Linked DNA regions of Ovis aries. The protein of the gene in region 2 interacts with the protein of the main gene of each other region in a biochemical or structural test. Links are inferred from orthologs where the notes say so. Each region holds a gene or a part of one and is shown on either strand. Other genes may lie near its edges.

The links.
Region 1: the proteins of EHD1 (region 2) and SNAP29 form a complex in vitro, tested with the Homo sapiens proteins (2 studies listed by BioGRID). The link is inferred for Ovis aries from reciprocal best matches to the Homo sapiens genes EHD1 and SNAP29.

What each region holds. Positions count from the first base shown.
Region 1 is NC_056070.1:72,311,315-72,315,114, reverse strand, and holds the end of SNAP29 (synaptosomal-associated protein 29), read right to left. Parts: intron 2,828-3,800; coding exon 2,729-2,827; intron 2,096-2,728; coding exon of another isoform or gene 2,043-2,095; coding exon 1,925-2,042; intron 1,484-1,924; coding exon 1,416-1,483; intron 1,198-1,415; coding exon 1,040-1,197; 3' UTR 123-1,039; downstream 1-122. UniProt on the Homo sapiens protein: SNAREs, soluble N-ethylmaleimide-sensitive factor-attachment protein receptors, are essential proteins for fusion of cellular membranes.
Region 2 is NC_056074.1:39,563,491-39,567,737, forward strand, and holds the start of EHD1 (EH domain-containing protein 1), read right to left. Parts: upstream 2,893-4,247; 5' UTR 2,635-2,892; intron 1,521-2,634; exon of another isoform or gene 1,438-1,520; intron 739-1,437; 5' UTR 1-738. UniProt on the Homo sapiens protein: ATP- and membrane-binding protein that controls membrane reorganization/tubulation upon ATP hydrolysis. In vitro causes vesiculation of endocytic membranes. Acts in early endocytic membrane fusion and membrane trafficking of recycling endosomes.

The DNA.
Region 1 (3,800 bases), on a different chromosome or scaffold from region 2:
CTGACCTGTACTGTCTCATCAGAATTAGTCCCTTTCACTGTCTTCAAAGCATGTTCAACAACCTGTGTTTAAAGAGACCTTCTGCCTTCAATTATTTTGTTGTAGGCACCAACAGAAAGTCATTTAAGTTCAGAAATCAATTTTAATTAGTGCTTTTAAATGATTCTTCTTTAATAAAATGAGAAGCGAGAACACGCTAGGGTTGTTAGAATAACCTCTGGGCTTTTAAAAAGCCAAATGCTTCCAGGCATGGTCTGCCACGGGCAGATTCCAGTCCTAAAACTGGGGGGCAGACAGCCAAGAGATGAGTCAAGGCGTGTGGCCGGCAGCGCGGGGAGAGGGTGGGCACCCTGGACGGGCCGGGGACCCCCGGAACCGAGTGAGCGCTGCTGCGTGCGGGCCCGGTCCGGGTGACCCGAGGGCAGAGAGCTCGGCAGAGCACCTCCGTGAGGCGTGCCCATGTGCGCTCCGGGGCCTGGCCGGCCATGCAGCCTGGGGCCAGGGTCGCACCTGTTCCTGAGCCCAGGCTCGCCTGCTCCCAGAGTGTTTCCAGGCATCACAGTGAGCAGGACAGGTCTGAAGCCCCTTCTCCTCCTGAAATCAAATGCCTGCTGAGTTCAGGGGCCGGGAGGGGAGGAGGTGGCGTCTGTCCACGCAACAGCGAGGACGCCCACCCCCTCCACTCCGAACCTGCTGCTGGCCTCTCCTGGGGCTCAGAGGATCACGATGGGCTCATGGCGGGGGAGCGCTGCAAACTGGGGTTTCGCGGCCCTTGGCGCTCTGCTGTGGGCGGCCTGGGGGCCACACGGCACATGGAGACGCTGGCCGGCCTGACCCGCCCGGCCTACAGCTGTCCGGTCAGGGTCCTGAGGGGAGGGGGGCCCGCGTCCTCTAAACAAAATCTCGTGAGACCCACTCTGTTACAACATCTGGAAACACATGTTAAACCACATTTTGAAGTAGTAAGTGAAGGTTCTCGGAGTTTAAAAGAAGGCCTTTGAGATCTCTCCGCCGAGGTGGGCAGGAGTCGGCCTCCGCCTCACAGCTGCCGCACCTTCCTCTCGGTGCTGGTGATGCTGGCGTCTAGCTTGTCCACCTTGGTCGTGAGGCGGTCGAGGATGTCGTCCTGCTCGTCAATCTCTGTCTGTATCCCCAGTGCGATGTCCTTCAGCCGGCCCAGGCCCACGGACAGCTCATCTGCAGGACAGGAGGGTATGCGTGTCCTGAGCCCAGTCAGGGCGTCGGGACCTGCACCCCAGATGCCCCCTGTGGTCACTGGCCCGTCCTCCTGGGAGATGGCCAGGTGCCAGGGCAACAGTTCTGGTTCCAGGACACACAGCGGTGAGTCAAGCAGCAGTAACTGGCCGATGGAAAAGCACCCCCTCCCGAGCCCACCGGGAGCCCACTGTCCGTACATGGACACGGTGTTTCTTCTAGAAATTCACACAGGGCCACACAGCTTCCAGCTGCCTTTAACCTGACGCTGCGTCAAGCACAGATGCTGAGTTGCAGACGGGAGGTCTGCCGCCTGGAAGCAAACCTGAGACATACCCCAGGCTCCACCCCTGAGACGTACCCCAGGCTCCACCCCTGAGACATACCCCAGGCTCCACCCCTGAGACATACCCCGGGCTCCACTCCTGACACACACCCCGGGCTCCACTCCGGAGACGTACCCCGGGCTCCACCCCTGAGACGTACCCCGGGCTCCACTCCTGACACGTACCCCGGGCTCCACTCCTGACACACACCCCGGGCTCCACTCCGGAGACGTACCCCGGGCTCCACCCCTGACACGTACCCTGGGCTCCACTCCTGACACGTACCCCGGGCTCCACACCTGAGATGTACCCCAGGCTCCACCCCTGAGACGTACCCCGGGCTCCACCCGAGAGGTACCCCGGGCTCCACTCCTGACACGTACCCCGGGCTCCACTCCTGACACATACCCCGGGCTCCACACCTGAGATGTACCCCAGGCTCCATTCCTGAGACATACCCCGGGCTCCACACCTGAGATGTACCCCAGGCTCCACTCCTCTCTGTAATAGATGCTTTCTGTCATAAGAAGCGGTGAAAACCAATCTCAATTTGCCTTTAAGGGGAAAGGTGTCCGTAAGGTCACAGTCGGCCTTGAGTACACAAAGGCTTCGTCAGCATCGTGGCAGAGAGCACTGGCTGTGAGCAGGGAGGGGCCGGCGAGGGCCTGGGGTTCCCCGACTCAGCTGTGCCAGCCGCGGAGCGGAGTTCCGGCCCGACTGACTGTCCGGGTGAAGGCAAAGCTCCTCCTTCGGGTTTTGTGGCTGTGTGTGTGTGTGTGTGTGTGCACACGTGTGCCTGCAGATATGTGTGCGGGTGTGTGTACCTGTGTGCCTACGGGAGTACGAGTTTGCACACACACAGGGAGTGGGGGGCACGCCCAGAGCGGCTCTCTGCTCTTCCACCAGCTAAGAGCGAGGGCAGCAGAAGCGCGGTGCTCCGGGAGGCTTGTCACTGAGCTAAAGACAACGGGGCGACCGAAGGAGGCTGGCTCAGGGCCAGGCGGAGGGGGGCTGGCAGACCCCGCCCCTGCCGCTGTCACCGCCCAGATGAGAGGTGGGGACAGAAGCAGGCGGGCAGAGCCTAGTGGGGGTGAAGGGCTGGGAGCCGTGCAGGCGTGGGGTGGGTGGGGGGCAGGCCCCGGGGCCCGGTGCGGGCGGGCGTGGAGGCAGCGGCGCTCTGGGCTCACCGAGGTTGCTGTCGATCCTCTGGTGACAGGCGCGAAGGTGCGGGTTCTGCGGGTAGGCCTCGGAGCTCACAGCTGAACCGGCCCCTCCAGGGACGGAGTCTGGGTTGACAGAGAGGCACGGGAGGACGGTTAATGGACAGCCCCTGAAGAGTCGCCTCATGAAACTCATCTTTAGCCTGGACAATCGGTGGAAGGCCCAAGGCGTTCAGGTCCGAGGCCACTGAGAGAGACGGGTGGGGATGGGGAAGGTGGGGGAAGACGATGCTTCCTTGGGGGCAGCCCTTCCGAGATCACAGACCCCCAGGTAAGGGTGGTCTGGCCAGACCCTGGCCCTCGAGCTCAGCAAAGAGCTTCGTGCAGGTAGTGATGTGCAATGGAGCGGTCGCCGTGCAAACCCGCACAGGCTACAGAAGACCCACGGACAACACGCGCCTGCCCCAGAAGGCCTCCTCCAAGCCTGTTTCCGAGTGCACGCAGAGAAGCCCGGGCCCTCAAGCCCCGTCTCCTGGGACCAGCTCTCGCTAGACTCGGGGTCTCTCTTTGCTCAGGGGCACAGCATTCACCCCTTCCTCCAAGGCTCTCACCTCCTAGACGCCCTCTGGTCCCTTCTCTGCCAGACCCTGCAGGTTGGTTATGTCTGACGTGCCTGGCTCTCTGGGGTGCATAGAAGCCCCCAGGAAGCCAGTTCCTCTCGAGACAAGGGACGTTTCTGGGCCCGTCATTCACCTTCCCTCCTGTACTCCTTGTCCAGTGGCTGGGCCTCATGGGTTGCGTTAGCCGCCCTGACAAACTCCCACAAGCCACCCTCGGTTCTGGATGGTGGATGTCAAAGCCGGGGCCCCTGGGCGCAGACCCAGGTGTCGGTGGGGCGGGGCTCCTGCAGGCTCTCGAGGGGAGGCAACTCCTGGCCCCATCCAGCCCTGGGGAGCCAGTCCTGAGGGCCACCACTCTCTCCTCTGCCCCCCTCCCACGAGCAGAGAGCCTCTGTGATGTCACTGGGACAACTCCGCCCACAACGAGGCCAGCCACTGGGCAACCACACTGTCCCTTTTGCCACGTGGCCCGGAATATT
Region 2 (4,247 bases):
ATCAGCACAAGGATAAGATAAGCTCTTAGAGCTCTGAGCCCCGCACAAAATGAGATAAGGAGGCAGAGAGAGAGGCCCACGGAGCTGGTGCAGGTGGAGGGGAGCAGATTGTTCAGTCATAGGAGGGTCACCCCTGAAGGCCCTCAGCAGAGGGGATGGGGCTGACAGGACACGGAGAGCAAAGCTGTGTGTGGGAATGAGCGAGGGAAAGGGGCCGATCCTTGGCCAGCCGCGTCAAGTCCTTAGAGAGAGAAGGTCGACTTGCTCTGTGACTTTAGCGAAATGCTCACCCTTTCTGAGCCCATGTTCTCATCTCCCAGACCAGCCTCACAGCAGTTACCTCACAAGGTTGCTGGGGTGATTCCAGATGATTGATGTAAGCAAGCTCCCAGCACACAGAAAGGGCTCAAGAACATTCCATTTACTAAGCAATTTGGACTTTATCCCTAGGTCTGTGTTTCCAATGTTTAAACACTAATGTTTTAGCAGCAGAAACTTTTTTATTCAAATGAAAATGTTCTCAGAACCCCATGTTATAAAACCCACGCAGGAGTGAGGCTACTGTGGGAGCTGGAGCAGGGCTGGGGGCCGTGCTTCTCTCCACGGCGGGGGCCTGGGCAGTCAAGAGAGCAGAAGGGGTGTGCAGAGCAGGCGCCTGGCTCCTGGGGGGCTTCAGCACAAACTGGAACCCAGAGTCCTTGGCTCCTCTTGGTCACATTGGACCGTTGGCGGTGCTTCCTTAGGATGCAAGGTGGAGGCCCAGGGTCGGTCCAGACATTTATTGAGCACACACCTGGGCTCAGCTTGGGCTGGGGGCTGAGCTCATAGGTGGTGGGGAGAACAGAAACACGGGGAGAATGCAGTGCTTGGGGGAAGCATGGGGTGCTGGGGGTGCTCGCTGGGCACTTCCGGTCAAGTGGGCTTTAAGAAGGCTTCCTGGAGGCAGCAAATGATCCAGCAAAGCTTGGAACAGTTATTGATAGTAAGTAAGCCCGACAAAAAGGCTGGGAAGGGTGCTCAGGCAGAGGGAACCTCACGGACTGAGCACAGAGACACACAGCACAGCCGGTGGAGGTGGAGCCCTAAAGCAATTCATTCATTTTCCCCACGCAAGCAGGCAAGTGGGGAGGCGGGGAGGGGCAGACTGTGGCAGACAGGTTTCATGGCCCACCAGGGCACCCCCGCCCGCCCCTTCCCCTGCAGGTCCTGGTGGCTGGCATCGAGGCGAACATACCTGTGACCTATGGAATTGGCAGCCAGAGGGGACACGAGAGCACTGGCTGTCAATTCATAGGTCAGAGCCCTGTGCACTCGCTCTTGGCAGCCTGCTGACAGCCCACTGCCCTTCGCCACCCTGGTGCAGGGAGTGTGGCCATGGGGGTGGGGGTCCCTGCTGGTGTGTGCTGGGCAGTCGCCGCTTCGCCTCCTCCGTGGGTGTGGCCCCCACCCCAGATAACAGCAGCCCCACTGGAACTAGTGGTACTTCCACATGGAGTTGCTGTTACAGGGGGTGGGAGCCAGTTGGAGGCCTGGGCCCTGTCCTCACGGCCCTCGGTCCACAGTCTTTTTATGGAGGCTCCTTATCATCTGGGGCCCACACCTGGAGTCTGATGCCAGACTCCTTCTGGGCGAAGTCCAGGCTCAACCCCAGATCTGCTCATAAAGCTGGGAGTGGCTCCCGTTTACAGCTCCTGGGCAGCCTTTGCCCACTGACACCCCACACCCTCTCCCCAAGTTCCTTGTTTCCTCGTTTCTTTCCCAACTAGAGCTGGGCCCCAGGTTCAGGTCTGCCGCTGTGGCCTCCACTCTCTGCCCTTTGCCCACCCTTCCTGCTGCAGCCACAGGGCGGAGACACAGTGAGGGACCACTGGGCATCTGCGATCTCCAAGGACCTCTGAATGCCCAGAACCCTGAGGAGGGTGCCAGACACGAAGCTGGAGATGAGACAGAGAGAATGGTGGGGGGAACAGAGAAGGGGAGACAGTGAAAGTGGGAGAGTGAGGCAGGGGCGCCGAGAGAGGGCGATGAGAGGGGCAGGCAGAGAACGGGAAGCAGACAGAGCTGGGGGGCGGGGAGCATAGAGAACCGGAGAAGGTGCTTGAGACATCACCCCCCACAGAATGCTAAGAACAGGGCTATCAGCTGATTCATTCTGGAAGAACATTCAGCACCTCAGTGGCCCGACAGCCAGCAGGGTCCTAGGAGCTGGGTGACCTTGAGCAAGTGGCTTAACCTCTCTGAGCCACTGCTGGTTCTCATACCAGGGTGTGTGAGGTCACCCTGGCCGGCGCTGTTGCAGAGCCACCTCCCCTTCCAGCTTTGGGTCCGTTCCCCGTTGGTTGGGGTCCCTGAGCTGGCCCAGGGCCCCAGGGGAACAGCCCTCTCTCCTGCCGTGTGTTCGCATCCCCACCAAACAGGCTCTGGCCCCTTACAATAGCAGTCCTGTGAGGCCTAGGGGATTCTTTGGAGAACCCAAAGCTTCTGGGGAGAAAGCGGACCTGGGACTCAGCTTTTAGAGTGGACCTAGGCTATGGACCCCTTTCCCAGCAGTGGAAACCGGCCCTGGGGGGCAGAGGAGGCTGCCCAAGGTCACAGAGCAGGTTCTTTTGAAGACCTGCAGGCAAGACCAAGTACCTGGTTTAGCAGAGGCAGGAGCAGCGGCAGAGATCCCCGTCATCCACTCAGGTTTCCATCGATGGAAACCGAGGCCCAGGGGCAGAAACGACTCGCTTGGGTCACCCAGGAGTTGCCTCGGGGCCCTTCCTTTCTTCTTAGAAGGGCTGGGCTCGGGCGCATCCAGGGTGAGTGGGCAGAGGGGCTGCAGGGACCTAACCCCGCAGGGAAGGCTCTTACCTGGGCGCCGGGCTGGCCCTCGGGGCACGAGGAGGAAGTGGGGCCACTCTGGGCCCAGCGCCTTTTGAGCCGTTGGCCCAGCCCCTGGCTGCAGTTAATGATTACCGTGTCGCTTGTCAATACCGATCCCAAGTGCAGTTCGAAGGGCATCAAACCCTGGACTGTGCTCGGGCAGGGTGGGGCAGTTCCAGGAAGCATCAGCCTGGGCCCCACCTGCCTCTCCTGGTGGCATCAGATCCCAGCCATCAAAACCCTGCTCCCCTGTCACGGCGTGGCCTGTGGCCCCACGCGACGTTGAGGACCCTGGGAGCCACTAGGACAAAACTTCTGCCCCAACTCACTTAGGGCCCAGGTCCTCACCGAGGAGGGCCCACCAGGGACACAAAGCGGGTTGGGGGGCTTTGCTGACACCCCAGCAAGGTGAGCATTCTCTATGCCTCAGCCTGGGCCTGTTTCCCCATGGGCCCTCCCATCTCAGCGCAGTGCTCCTGGAGAACTGGGTGGGGAGGGGCCCAATAGAGTGGCCCCTTCTTCCTTGTTCACCAGAGACAAGGCAAGAGGTGTGGGGAGGGGCGGGCGATAGCCATTTCCCCATCCCAAGTGTTTCTGTGCCAAAGTCACTGTCAGGCCCCCTTCCAGCCCGTGTTGTCCCCAGCGCCCCTCCCCCTCCAGGGGGGAGCTGGGACCCCAGGGTAGAGGTTCCAGTCACCTGAAAACCTGCTAAGGAAAGCAGGCGTGGCCCCAGAGGGCCCAGCCTTCCAGGAATGGCCTTGACTGACCCTCGTGGCCCCTGGGTCGGCTGGGCAGATGACTGGGAGGGGCCTGAGGCTCAGAGACCAAGGGCGAGGCCTCAGGTCACAGGGTCGGGGCCTCGGCCCCCCTGGGGTCCTGCACAGTCCTACCCTTTGCTCGGGTCCAGTGCCCTCCCAGTGCCCCAGGGAGGGCTGGATTGGGCTTTTTGGGGGAGGGGCCAAGAAACATAGTCTGGGTGAGATGGGCTCCAAGGACCATTTCTTCTCTCCTCTCCTCTCTACTCAGAGCCCGCCAGATCACAAGTGGTGCCAGGGTGGCAGTCCCCCATGAGAGGGGCGAGGGGCCTAGCGCAGCAACAGGGCAGCGGAGGGGAGGAGCAGAGAGGCAGGCAGGCGGCTGGGTTCGAGGCCAGGGGCAGTGGGTGGGGTGGTGGTGGGCAGGGGGCTGTTCACCTGCCGGGTGGGTGGAGAGGGTGTGGCAACCCCTGGTGGTGAGCTGGGCGGTGCAGGGTACACAGCTGGGGACGGGGCGGTGCAGGTCGAGGCTGGGGCACTGCAGGTACACAGGGGGGCTGGCGGTGGGCAGTTTATTCCACGTCATGCAGACACTGACCCACACGCTCAAGGAGCTTAAAAATACAT